2 linked regions of the Stegostoma tigrinum genome follow. The protein of the gene in region 1 interacts with the protein of each later gene in a pairwise test. Links are inferred from orthologs where the notes say so. Each region holds a gene or a part of one and is shown on either strand. Other genes may lie near its edges.

Region 1 (7,545 bases):
TGATGGCTTAATGGTATCATTGCTGGACTGTTAACTCAGGGATCCAGGTAGTGTTCTTGGGACTTGGGATTGAATCCCACCATGGCAGATATTGGAATTTGAATTCAATAAAAATCTGAAATTAAGAGTCTAATGCTGACTATAAAACCATTTTCAATTGTTGGAAAAAATCCATCAGATTTACTAATGTCTTTCAGAGAAGGAAATCTGCTTTTCCTATCTGGTCTGGTGTACATATGACTCCAGGCCCACAGCAATGTGGTTGACTTTTAACCGCCCTCTGGGCAATTGTGAGTGGGCAATGAATGTTGGCCTAGTTAGTGATGTCCTGTGAATGAAATAAAATGATTCCAAAAATCTCTCTTTGCATCTAGCTTCATGAAGGTTGAACTGTTTCCCAGTTTACCTAAGCTTTCATCCAGACAACAAGACACAAATTTCAATTTTAATAACTTTGTTCAGTAATGCAAGATCTGTCAAATTCTGATAGATCAGTTGAATTTTGGCACTGGGAGCATCCCCAAGCATCAGTTTGTTGGTTCTGTCACAAGTAATAGAATCAAATTCCTTTTTTTAAGCTTTGGGAAGAGTGCATGAGGAACCTTTTTGGGAGTAAATAAACACACTTGCTTTATCTTGGGAATATAATGTGATGTTTCCATGTTGAATTGCTGGTTTTTGAATAAAACACAAACATAAATGTCTGCTAAAGGGAAGTTCCTTGCAATCTGATTTTTTATGTTACGGTTTTAATGTTGAGCTGTATGCATGACTAGACTTACAATAGTAAACGGAGCACTGATTTCCAAATAAATTTACAATTTGCGTATAAACTGCCATTGTGATTTCCCAGAACTTACAACTAGTTTAAAATTTAATGTAATGTTGATGTGATGTCACAGGTGCAATTCTGCATGCACAGATCATCAACGTATCAGAGAAAGACTTGTAGATGAGGACCTGAGTAGGACAGGAACAAGGAACGTTTCAAAAACCCCACAGAGAGACAGGCACAGCTGGGACGTATGTCGGTACGTACACCTACACGTTTGACTTGGAGAAAGTGAGATGAGTTAATGAATAAGTTGTTTAAATTGAGAACAAGCCCAGCCAGGCCAAGGAAGTTGGTGATGGACAGGGACTGTTCAAGCCTGTTTTCAAGGAAGTATCAGAGAACCTTCAGACCATCCTAATGGGGGCTGGACATTCACAGTGATTACGTGTTCATAATGAAGAAACAATGAGTAAGGCCAGAAATGTGACAATTGTGGAACTGACATAAAGTATGAAAAGAATCAGGAATGTATGTGGGAAGAGAATGAACAAAGGGCGAAAGATAGGCTAACTTTCCTATTATGTAATTTGGACCAGATTTGCTGTTACCTTGCTGAGTTTTGTTGTTTTCTCTAAGCTTATTTTTGAGTCTGAATTATCATTGTGCTTTTATTATTCTTGTAGTGAATTGAACTATGTTAAGGGCATAGGAATAAGATTACAGAGGTAGGCCATTCATTCTCTTGAGTTTGCTCCACCATTCTAGATTATAGCTAGTCAATGTTATTTTCTCATGTAATCACTATTTCCCAATTATTCTCCTAATCTCTCAACTGTATTTTCCTTCCATGCAAGATGGTGAATGGTGCTGACAGTGGACAACTCCTTGTGAGTTCCAATAGCAGATCTAACTCTAACATTTCTTATAATCGCTCTACACTTTTAAACTTAAACACTAAATCAAGTAATGTAACCTGCATGCCTCTAAATCTTTTTGATCTGTACATCCTTTGCTTGCTGTGATCTGCCTGTACCGCTCACTTATTTCGGTACATGTGACAATAAAATCAATCAATCAAACATTTTCACTGTTTGGTGGCCTGTAATGCATGTCAAGGATTGCATTACTTCTTTGTATACCTTAATTTTCTTATTAAATTTATCTTAACACCACTCATAATCTTTAAATTCCAGTCCTTTAATATAATCCTATACAAACCCTACTGGCTTGTTTTCCATCTTGTCTCATGAAAATGTTATATTCAGGCATGTTAAATCCTCAGTTCTGTTCAAACCCAAACCACATCTCCATTATTGGTATTATACTGCCCTCCATAGTATAAATATTTATTAAGTCATACCGCATGGAAACAGACCATTTGGTTCAACTCATCCTTACTGACCAAGCTTCCCAAATGACACTAGTCCCTCATGCCTGTGTTTGGCCCATATGCTTCTAAATCATGCCTACTCTTGTACCTGTACATATGTCTTTTTAAATGTAACTGCACCTGCATCCACCACTTCGTCTGGCAGTTCCACATACAAACCACCCTCTGAGTGAAACAGTGGCCCTCAGGTCCTTTTTAAATCACCTCTCACCTTAAAATTATGCCCTCTAGTTTTGAACTCCCCTACCCTAGGGAAAAGACCTTTACTTTCACGTTATCTATGCCCCTCACGATTTTATACTTGTAACTCTGTAGTATTGTTTTGAGCATTTGGTTCATTTTCGTTCATTGTATCCAATTCATACTTCAATTATTTTGGAATTTGATTAGAATTGACTCGAAATCACCATACATTCAGCTGAAAATAAAGTTTTGATGAGTCCCACCGATCTGGTTACCTGGTGTAATTGACAAATTGGAATGTATGAGGTTGTATATATGCCTGCCAAGCTGGTGGATTTGGAGAAAACTGAAGGAACTGAATAGCCTACCTCTATAATCTTATTCCTATTCCCCTAACATAGCTTAGTTCACTGCCAGAATGAGAAAAACATAATGATAATTCAGACTCAAAAATAAGCTTATAGAAAATGAACAGACTCACTAATCACCCTACAGTATATCAAGGGCATTTCAGAGAGGACCATAAGACTACTCAGACTCCTGGGTATCAGAGTAATCCACAAACTCACATCACCCTACCACAGCTACTGACAAAGGTAAAGGATTCCATACCCAAAACCAACAAAACTGGTGTAATATACAAAATACCTTGCAAGGATGTGTGAGAAATACCACATAGGCCAAACTGGAAGAAAACTGACAATACGGATACACAAACACTAACTAGCCACCAAGAGACACAAAAAAATTTTCACTTGTCTCAATACACACAGACAAGGAATGACACGATATTGACTGGGACAACGCATCCATTATCGTACAAGCCAAACAGAGACACGCTAGGGAATTCCTGCAGTCCTGGTCTTCCAACTGGAACTCCATCAACAAACACATTGAATTAGACCCTGTGTACAAACCACTGAGAAACAGAACCAGAAGTAATACCAACATCCCAGCAAACCGATTCATATAAATAACAAGCGGGACAGAACACTGATGCTTAACTAGAGGCGCACTGACGATGTTACTGAGCAGGGTGACAAAATGTCTGCAACCAAACCCACCGGCTCAGCAAGCATGTCTTTAACCTCACACAACCCTCATCACCAGTCTTCTTGAAAACTTTAATTGGAACACATTTTTGTAAACAATTTCCCCTTTGAAAATGTACCTTAAGATGTTTGGGGGAAATTTGAGATAACGATTTCAAAAAGCTTTGAGTGATCAGAATTACCAAAATAAATAAAAACATTTCAATGATAGAAATTGGGAAACATCCCATAAACAGCAGGTCAACTCTTATCCATTGTATTAGAGATAATGGGAACTGCAGATGCTGGAGAATTTGAGATAACAAAGTGTGGAGCTGGATGAACACAGCAGGCTAAGCAGCATCTTAGGAACACAAAAGTTGACATTTCGGGCCTAGACCCTTCAACAGAGTGCTCCTAAGATGCTGCTTAGCCTGCTGTGTTCATCCAGCTCCACACTTTGTTATCTCTTATTCATTGTACTTTGTGTAAAGATGCATGCCATTTGAAGGAAATACAACGAATTTATTCAACTGTTCAGGTCTCTACAGGTACCATTTTGTTTTTTTCAAATTAGCAGCTGTGTGAACTGCTTCATTTGTGAGTGATTATCCAACAGCTCGCATTAAATAAGAGAGCGATTCAGACCTAAGGTTAGCTGGGACTGCTGTGTTCATCCAGTCTCACATTTTATTATCTTAGCAACCTCTTGCTGGCTTTAATGTTATTTCCTATGGGTGGGGTAATGGGGTAAAATAACTTCTCCTTTTATCAAAAAAACCAGTTTGACAGTATTTTTCACTTCTTTACTCTCTTTTGCCCCGTTTTGCTAACAAAAAGCACATGACGAATCACAAGGCCCGTCTCCGTTGCTATAGGAACAGGCCGTACACTATCGCACAAGGAGCGTCAGCGACGGCGGGGATTGTTAAACATCCTCTTGTAGCCTCGCTGTTGCTGATATGCACGAGTGCCGATTTTCTGCAGGTCTTTCCGATAACGAGTTGCCAAGGGTTTTCGAGTGAAAACGGGTCCATTTCCATTAAACTCGTCTTGTGAAAGACAGGTAAAGAGACCCAGTCTCGGCCTCTCCTCCTTCAGCCGGGAGTGTGCAACGCTTTGCCTCCTTCTCACAAGTTAAATTCTTCCATAGCTGTTTTTTGTTATAAAAGAATATGCCATTTCTGAGGCCTCGGAAGCCCAAAGAAAATCGGTGGCATGAGTGGGATCGAATTGCACAGAAAAACGGTTTAAAAAGCACCGTCTACTCATTAGGCGGGGACGAGTATACAGGAGAGTGGCTGGACAATAAAAAACATGGTAAGACTTTTTTTTTAAGTACAGTGCATCATTTTACAAGATATAACTTCTGAAAACAGAGTTAAAAACATGGCTCAGATTGGCTTTAAGCATGAACTTCATGTCCTGCGCTACTCAAAAGTAATGACAGTAGACCAAACCATGAGTTTAGAATGCATGCGACACATAAAAAGACCATTCAGCCTATCATATCCACAATAGCAGCTCGGCTTTTTATATTTTTATATTGCTGTTGTTTGCTCTTCAAGTGTATTCATTCACATTTCTGTGCAACCAGTTTCATCTGCCACTTGTTAGCCCACTTCACCAGCCCTTCTCTATGTCCTTTTGAATTCTGTTATAATTCACAATACTTCCAGGCTTTTTGTTGTGTACAAATTTTGAAATTGTGCACTGTACACTTGAGCCTTTGTGATTAACACTTAGCAGGAAAAATAGTCGCAGAAACAGAAGTTGCTGGAAAAGCTCAGCAGGTCTGGCAGCATCTGTGAAGAGAAATCATCGTTAATGTTTCCAGGCTAGTGACCCTTCCTCAGAACTGATGGTAGCTAGAAAAAGGTTGGTTTATATACGGAAGATTGGGTGGGGGAAGGGGGTAAGGAGTAAATGATAAGTAAGGATAGTGCCCAAAGAGAGAGAAGAACAGTTGGACATAAAAATAGTTTAAAAAGACAAGTTGTGAGAGGGATTAAAACTGTTTACAGAGAGATATTGATAGTTTGGGTGGGCAAAAAGTTGGCAAATGAAGTATAATGTGGGAAAACCTGAAGTTCATTTTTGAAGGAAGAACAAAAGAACAGCGTTATTTAAATGGGAAAGAAAAACTGCAGAAAGCTGCAACACAAAGGGACTTGGTACATGTGTACAAAATACAGGATGTTAGCAACAGGTAATCAGGAAAGCTAATGGAATCAGAGATAATGGGAACTGCAGATGCTGGAGAATCCAAGATAATAAAATGTGAGGCTGGATGAACACAGCAGGCCAAGCAGCATCTCAGGAGCACAAAAGCTGACATTTCGGGCCTAGACCCTTCATCAGAGAGGGGGATGGGGTGAGGGTTCTGGAATAAATAGGGAGAGAGGGGGAGGCGGACTGAAGAAGGAGAGAAAAGAAGATAGGTGGAGAGAGTATAGGTGGGGAGGTAGGGAGGGGATAGGTCAAGGAGGTGGGATGAGGTTAGTAGGTAGATGGGGGTGCGACTTGGGGTGGGAGGAAGGGATGGGTGAGAGGAAGAACAGGTTAGGGAGGCAGAGACAGGTTGGACTGGTTTTGGGATGCAGTGGGTGGAGGGGAAGAGCTGGGCTGGTTGTGTGGTGCAGTGGGGGGAGGGGACGAACTGGGCTGGTTTAGGGATGTGGTGAGGGAAGGGGAGATTTTGAAACTGGAATGTTGGCTCTTGTTTCAAGAGATTTGGAGAATAAGAATAGGGAAGTCTTACTGGAACTGTGCAAAGTGCCGGTGAGATCACATATGGAGTACAAGGAAATGTTTTTGTTCCCTTCTGGAAAAGTATCATTTAACTGGAGACAGTTCAAAGAAGGTTTACTGGGGTGATCCCTGCTATGGAGGGATTGTCTTCAAAGGCTAGACAGGTTGGGACTTTACTCACTGAAGTTTAGATGAATGAAAGGTGATGTCATTGAACCATATAGGATTCTTAAAGGGTCTGACAAGGTAAATACTGAGATATTTCCCCTCATAGGAGAATCCAGGACCAGAGGGCATAGTCTCAGAATAAAGGGGCACCAATTTTACAGACTGAGATGAGGAATTTCTTCTCTCGGAGGGCTATGAGTCGTTGGAACTCCTTGCCGCAGGGACTTGCAAGGGCAGAGTCCTTGTGTATATTTAAGGCTAAGGTAAAGTTTGTCAGCAGGGGAATCAAGAGTTATGAAAAAACATGTAGGAAAGTAGATGTGAGGAGTGTTGATCAGCCATAATCCTGTTGAATGTCAGTTCCTATTTCCTATGGTCTTATGGCGAATGTAAACTCCTGTTTAAGAAGGGAGGGAAGCAGAAGACAGGAAATTACAGGTCAGTTAGTCTGACCTCAGTTATTGTTAAGACTTTAGAGTCCATGATTATTAAGGATGAAATTGCGGAGTACTCAAAAGTGCATGGTAAAGTAGGGCTGAGCCAGCATGGCTTTGTCAAAGGACATCATGCTGAACAAAAGCAATTTTTTGAGATGGTAACAAGCAAGTTAGACAAAGAAGAGCCAATAGTGTGATCTGTTTGGATTTCCAGAAGGCCTTTGACAAGGTGGCACACAGGAAGCTGCTAAATAAGATAAGAGCCCATGGCGTCTGTGGAAGGCTGCTGGCGTGGATAGAGATTGGCTGACTGAAGAAGGCAAAGGGTGGGGATAAAGGTGGATTTTTCAAAGTGACAGTGGGTGACTTCTGGAGTTCTACAGGGGTCAAAGCTGGAACCACAACTATGCACTTTATACATTAATAATCTGGACAAATGATCTGATGGCATTGTTGCTAATTTTGCAGATGATGCAAAAATAGGTGGAGGGATAAATAGTATTAAGGAAGTGAGAAGGCTGCAGGAGGACTTGGACAGGTTAGGAGAGTGGGCATAGAAGAGGCAGATAGAATACAGTGCAGGAAAGTGTGAAGTTGATCATTTTATTAGGAAGAATTGAGATGTAGACTATTTTCTAAATTGGGAAAGGTTTCAGAAATCTGAAGCACAAAGGGACTTGATAGTCCCAGTTCAGGATTCTGTTACAGTTAACATGTAGTTGGTAGTTAAGAAGTTAAATGTGACTTAGCATTCATTTCAAGAAGACTAGAATACAGATTGGATATGTACGGCTGAGGCTGTATACGGAT
Region 2 (7,091 bases), on another chromosome or scaffold:
CAGTACAGGCCCTTCAGCCCTCGATGTTGTACCAACCTGTCATACCGATCTCAAGCCCATCTAACCTACACTATTCCATGTACATCCATATGCTTGTCCAGGTTGGAGGCTGTGGTTGGGAGGTCCCCTGAGGTTATGAGGTCATGGATAGTAGTGGAGATGATGGTTTGGTGCTCGGGTGTGGGGTCATGATCGAGGGGGCGGTAGGAGGACGTGTCGGTGTATGCGGAGATTGCTGGGGTAGTATGTGAGGACTAGGGGGATACTCTTTTGGCGGTTATTGCGGGGGCGAGGTGTGAGGGATGAAATGCGGGAGACTCGGTCGAGGGCGTTCTTGACCACTGCGGGGGGAAAGTTGCAGTCCTTGAAGAACGAGGACGTCTGGGATGTGCGGGAGTGAAATGCCTCATCCTGGGAGCAGATTCGACGGAGGCAAAGGAATTGGGGATGGAATTTTTGCAGGAACGTGGGTGGGAGTAGGTGTATTCTCACAGCTACCTAGAATACACCTCCTCCCACCCAGCTTCCTGCAAAAATTCCACCCCCTATTCCAAATTCCTTTGCCTCCGTCGCATCTGCTCCCAGGATGAGGCATTTCACTCTGGCACATCCCAGATGTCCTCGTTCTTCAAGGACCGCAAACTCCCCCCTCCCCCGACCCCCCACAATGGTCGAGAATGCCCTTGACCGAGTCTCCCGCATTTTCCCACACCTCATCCCTCACACCTGGCCCCCGCAATAACCGCCAAAAGAGTATCCCCCAGTCCTCACGTATCACTCCACCAATCTCCGCATACAATGCATCATCCTCCGACACTTCCGCCATCTACAATCCGCTCCCACCACTAAAGACATTTTGCCGTCCCCACCCTTGACTGGGTTCCAAAGAGACCACTCTCTCTGGGAATCCCTTGTCCGCTCCACACTCCCCTCCAACCCCACCACACCCGGCACTTTCCCCTGCAACCGAAGGATGTGTTACACTTGCCCCCACACCTCCTCACTCACCCCCATCCCAGGCCCCAAGATGACTTTCCACATCTGGAATGGTTGTTGGAGGTTCCGGGATTTAGATGTTTCAGTAAGAACAGTGAAGATGGTAAAAGGGGCGGAGGTGTGGCATTGTTGGTCAAGGACAGTATTACAGTTGCAGAAACGATGTTTGGGGACTCATCAACTGAGGTAGTAAAGGGCTGAGGTTAGAAACAGGAAAGGAGAGGTCACCCGGTTGGGAGTTTTCTATAGGCCTCCAAATAGTTCCAGATATGTAGAAGAAAGGATAGCAAAGATGATTCTCGACAGGAGTGAGAGAGACAAGGTATTTGTCATGGGGGACTTCAACTTTCCAAATATTGACTGGGAACACTATCGTTCGAGTACTATAGATGGGTCAGTTTTTGTCCAGTGTGTGCAGGAGGGCTTCCTGACACAGTATGTTAGATAGGCCAACAAGGGGCGAAGTCACATTAGATTTGGTACTGGTTAATGAGCCTGGCCAGGTGTTAGATTTGGAAGCAGGTGAGCACTTTGGTGATAGCGATCACAATTCTGTTATGTTTACTTTAGTGATGGAAAGGGATAGGTGTCTACCACTGGGCAAGAGTTATAGCTGGGGGAAAGGCAATTACGATGAGATTAGGCAAGATTGAGGGAGCATAGGATGGGGAAGGAAACTGCAAGGGATGGGCACATTAGAAATGTGGAGCTTGTTCAAGGAAAAGCTCCTGTGTGTCCTAGATAAGTATGTACCTGTCAGGCAGGGAAGAAGCTGCAGAGTGCGGGAGCCGTGGTTTACAAAGGAGGTAGAATCTCTGGTCAAGAGGAAGAAGGCGGCTTATGTTAGGATGAGATGTGAAGCCTCAGTTAGGGCGCTTGAGGGCTACCAGTTAGCCAGGAAAGACCTAAAGAGAGAGCTCAGAAGAGCCAAGAGGAGACATGAGAAGTTGTTGGCGGATAGGATCAGGGTAAACCCGAAGGCTTTCTATAGGTATTTAAGGAAGAAAAGAATGTTGAAAGTAAGATGAAGGCCAATCAAGGATAGTAGTGGGAAGTTGTGTGTGGAGTCAGAGGAGATAGGTGAAGCACAAAATGAATATTTTTCAACAGTATTCACTCGAGAAAACAACAATGTTGTCGAGGAGATTACTGAGATACAGGCTACTAGACTAGGTGGGGTTGAGTTTCACAAGGAAGAGGTATTAGAAATCCTACAGAGGGTGAAGATAGATAAGTCCCCTGGGAAGGATGGGATTTATCCTCGGATCCTCTGGGAAGCCAGGGAGGAGATTGCCGAGCCTTTGGCATTGATCTTTACCTCGTCATTGGAATAGTGCCAGATGACTGGAGGATAGCAAATGTGGTTCCCCTGTTCAAGAAGGGGAATAGAGACAACTCTGGTAATGATACATCAGTGAGGGTTAGATAGGGTGGATAGGGAGAGCCTTTTTCCTCAGATGGTGACGGCGAGCACGAGGGGGCATAGCTTTAAATTGAGGGGTGAGAGATATACAACAGATGTCAGAGGTAGTTTCTTTACTCAGAGGGTAGTAAGGGAATGGAATGCTTTGCCAGCAACGGTAGTAGATTCGCCAACTTTAGGTACATTTAAGTCGTCATTGGATAAGCATATGGACGAACATGGAATAGTGTCGTCTAGATGGGCTTCAGATCGGTATGGCAGGTCCACACAACATTGAGGGCCGAAGGACCTGTACTGTGCTGTAATGTTCTATGTTCTATCAAGCAGATGTTCACCTGCACAACTGGCAATATGGTATACTGCATCTGCTGTACCCGTTGTGGCTACCTCTACATTGGGGAAACCAAGCGGATGCTTGGGGACCAGAAATAATGGGAACTGCAATTGCTGGAGAATCTAAGATAACAAAGTGTGAAGCTGGATGAACACAGCAGGCCAAGCAGCATCTTAGGAGCACAAAAGCTGTTGTGAAGGGTCTAGGCCCGAAATGTCAGCTTTTGTGCTCCTAAGATGCTGCTTGGCCTGCTGTGTTCATTCAACTGCACACTTTGTTATCGTGGTTGCTTGGGGACCGCTTTGCAGAACACCTCCGCTCGGTTCACAATAAACAACTGAACCGCCCAGTCACGAACCATTTCCACTCCCCCTCCCATTCTTTAGATTACATGTCCATCATGGGCCCCCTGCAGTGCCACAATGATGCCACCCGAAGGTTGCAGGAACAGCAACTCATATTCCGCCTGGGAACCCTGCAGCCATATGGTATCAATGTGGACTTCACCAGCTTCAAAATCTCCCCTTCCCCCACTGCATCCCTAAACCAGCCCAGTTCATCCCCTCCCCCCACTGCACCACACAACCAGCCCAGCTCTTCCCCTCCACCCACTGCATCCCAAAACCAGTCCAACCTGTCTCTGCCTCCCTAACCTGTTCTTCCTCTCACCCATCCCTTCCTCCCACCCCAAGCCGCACCCCCAGCTACCTACTAACCTCATCCCACCTCCTTGACCTGTCCGTCTTCCCTGGACTGACCTATCCCCTCCCTACCTCCCCACCTATACTCTCCTCTCCACCTATCTTCTTTTCACTCCATCTTCGGTCCGTCTCTCCCTAATTATTCCAGAACCCTCTCCCATCCCCCTTTTCTGATGGAGGGTCTAAGCCCGAAACATCAGCTTTTGTGCTCCTGAGATGCTGCTTGGCCTGCTGTGTTCATCCAGCCCCACACTTTATTATCTTGGAATTCTCCAGCATCTGCAGTTCCCCTTATGTCTGTGATACTCAGAGGTCCGTGTGCCCGCCCCTTAGGATACAGAGCCCGCCTCCTGAAACTCGGGCTGCTAACACTTGATGAAGAAGCCCGGATCTGAAAGTTTTCAAATTAACCTGTTGACTGTAATTTGGTGCGGTGTGATTATTCACCGAGTCATCGCCGGCACTTCCGCATTGGTCCCGGCCGCTTTAGGCCACGTGACCGCGCGCGGGCTGGAGGTGTGGCAGGAGCGTTGTCATGGTTTCGGTACACAGAGCAACGGTCCGAGTGTGAGGGTCACAGAGGGAGAGGGAGAGGGGACAGTGTGAGGGTCACAGAGAGAGAGAGGACAGTGTGAGGGTCACAGAGAGAGAGAGGACAGTGTGAGGGTCACAGAGAGAGAGAGAGAGAGAGGACAGTGTGAGGGTCACAGAGAGATAGAGGACAGAGAGAGGGAGGACAGTGTGAGGGTCACAGAGAGAGAGAGGACAGTGTGAGGGTCACAGAGAGTGAGGGGGAGAGGACAGTGTGAGGGTCACAGAGAGAGAGAGGACAGTGTGAGGGTCACAGAGAGAGAGAGGACAGTGTGAGGGTCACAGAGAGTGAGGGGGAGAGGACAGTGTGAGGGTCACAGAGAGAGGGAGAGGGAACAGTGTGAGGGTCACAGAGAGAGAGAGGACAGTGTGAGGGTCACAGAGAGTGAGGGGGAGAGGACAGTGTGAGGGTCACAGAGAGGGAGAGAGGACAGTGTGAGGGTCACAGAGAGAGGAAGAGAGGGAGGACAGTGTGAGGGTCACAGAGAGAGAGGGAGGACAGTGTGAGGATCACAGAGAGAGAGAGAGAGGGAGGACGGTGTGAGGGTCACAGAGAGAGAGTGAGAGAGGGAGGACAGTGTGAGGGTCACAGAGAGAGAGAGGACAGTGTGAGGGTCACAGAGAGAGAGAGGGAGGACAGTGTGAGGGTCACAGTGAGAGAGGGAGAGAGAGGGAACAGTGTGAGGGTCACAGAGAGAGAGAGAGGACAGTGTGAGGGTCACAGAGAGAGAGGGAGAGGGGACAGTGTGAGGGTCACAGAGAGAGAGAGAGAGAGAGGGTCACAGTGAGAGAGGGAGGACAGTGTGAGGGTCACAGAGAGAGAGAGGACAGTGTGAGGGTCACAGTGAGAGAGGGAGGACAGTGTGAGGGTCACAGAGAGAGAGAGGAGAGTGTGAGGGTCACAGAGAGAGAGAGAGGACAGTGTGAGGGTCACAGTGAGAGAGGGAGGACAGTGTGAGGGTCACAGAGAGAGAGAGAGGGAGGACAGTGTGAGGGTCACAGAGAGAGAGAGGACAGTGTGTGGGTCACAGAGAGAGAGAGAGAGAGAGGACAGTGTGAGGGTCACAGAGAGATAGAGGACAGTGTGAGGGTCACAGAGAGAGGGAGGACAGTGTGAGGGTCACAGAGAGAGAGAGGACAGTGTGAGGGTCACAGAGAGAGAGAGAGAGAGAGGGGACAGTGTGAGGGTCACAGAGAGAGAGAGAGAGAGGGAGAGGACAGTGTGAGGGTCACAGAGAGAGGGAGGACAGTGTGAGGGTCACAGAGAGAGAGAGAGACAGAGGACAGTGTGAGGGTCACAGAGAGAGAGAGAGGACAGTGTGAGGGTCACAGTGAGAGAGGGAGGACAGTGTGAGGGTCAGAGAGAGAGGGAGAGGACAGTGTGAGGGTCACAGAGAGAGAGAGAGGACAGTGTGAGGGTCACAGAGAGAGAGAGAGAGGACAGTGTGCGGGTCACAGAGAGAGAGAGAGGGAGAGGACAGTGTGAGGGTCACAGAGAGAGTGTGAGAGCGAGAGGACGGTGTGAGGGTCATAGAGAGAGTGTGAGAGAGGGAGGACAGTGTGAGGGTCACAGAGAGAGGGAGGACAGAGTGAGGGTCACAGAGAGAGAGGGGACAGTGTGAGGGTCACAGAGAGAGATAGAGAGAGAGGGAGGACAGTGTGAGGGTCACAGAGAGAGAGAGAGGGAGGACAGTGTGAGGGTCACAGAGAGAGAGAGAGAGGGAGGACAGTGTGAGGGTCACAGAGAGAGAGAGGACAGTGTGAGGGTCACAGAGAGAGGGAGAGAACAGTGTGAGGGTCACAGAGAGAGAGAGAGGGAGGACAGTGTGAGGGTCACAGAGAGAGAGAGGACAGTGTGAGGGTCACAGAGAGTGAGGGGGAGAGGACAGTGTGAGGGTCACAGAGAGAGAGAGGACAGTGTGAGGGTCACAGAGAGTGAGGGGGAGAGGACAGTGTGAGGGTCACAGAGTGGGAGAGAGGACAGTGTGAGGGTCACAGAGAGAGGAAGAGAGGGAGGACAGTGTGAGGGTCACAGAGAGAGAGGGAGGACAGTGTGAGGGTCACAGAGAGAGAGAGAGGGAGGACGGTGTGAGGGTCACAGAGAGAGAGTGAGAGAGGGAGGACAGTGTGAGGGTCACAGAGAGAGAGAGAGAGGACAGTGTGAGGGTCACAGAGAGAGAGAGGACAGTGTGAGGGTCACAGAGAGAGAGAGAGGGAGAGGACAGTGTGAGGGTCACAGAGAGAGTGTGAGAGCGAGAGGACGGTGTGAGGGTCATAGAGAGAGTGTGAGAGAGGGAGGACAGTGTGAGGGTCACAGAGAGAGGGAGGACAGTGTGAGGGTCACAGAGAGAGAGGGGACAGTGTGAGGGTCACAGAGAGAGATAGAGAGAGAGGGAGGACAGTGTGAGGGTCACACAGAGAGAGAGAGGGAGGACAGTGTGAGGGTCACAGAGAGAGAGAGGACAGTGTGAGGGTCACAGAGAGAGAGAGGACAGTGTGAGGGTCACAGAGAGAGGGAGAGAACAGTGTGAGGGTCACAGAGAGAGAGAGAGGGAGGACAGTGTGAGGGTCACAGAGAGAGAGAGGACAGTGTGAGGGTCACAGAGAGTGAGGGGGAGAGGACAGTGTGAGGGTCACAGAGAGAGAGAGGACAGTGTGAGGGTCACAGAGAGTGAGGGGGAGTGGACAGTGTGAGGGTCACAGAGTGGGAGAGAGGACAGTGTGAGGGTCACAGAGAGAGGAAGAGAGGGAGGACAGTGTGAGGGTCACAGAGAGAGAGGGAGGACAGTGTGAGGGTCACAGAGAGAGAGAGAGGGAGGACGGTGTGAGGGTCACAGAGAGAGAGTGAGAGAGGGAGGACAGTGTGAGGGTCACAGAGAGAGAGAGGACAGTGTGAGGGTCACAGAGAGAGAGAGAGAGGACAGTGTGAGGGTCACAGAGAGAGAGAGAGACGGGGAGAGGACAGTGTGAGGGTCACAGAGAGAGAGAGAGAGGACAGTGTGAGGGTCACAGAGAGAGAGAGAGAGGACAGTGTGAGGGTCACAGA

Evidence for each region.
Region 2: the proteins of morn3 (region 1) and rsph1 interact in binary tests that used the Homo sapiens proteins (3 or more experiments, as listed by UniProt). The two-hybrid records come from large-scale screens. The link is inferred for Stegostoma tigrinum from reciprocal best matches to the Homo sapiens genes MORN3 and RSPH1.

Annotation. Positions count from the first base shown.
Region 1 is NC_081379.1:25,093,670-25,101,214, reverse strand, and holds the start of morn3 (MORN repeat-containing protein 3), read left to right. Parts: upstream 1-4,277; 5' UTR 4,278-4,445; exon of another isoform or gene 4,446-4,551; 5' UTR 4,552-4,554; coding exon 4,555-4,699; intron 4,700-7,545. UniProt on the Homo sapiens protein: Assembles a suppression complex (suppresome) by tethering SIRT1 and MDM2 to regulate composite modifications of p53/TP53.
Region 2 is NC_081365.1:1,201,154-1,208,244, forward strand, and holds the start of rsph1 (radial spoke head 1 homolog), read left to right. Parts: upstream 1-3,984; 5' UTR 3,985-7,091.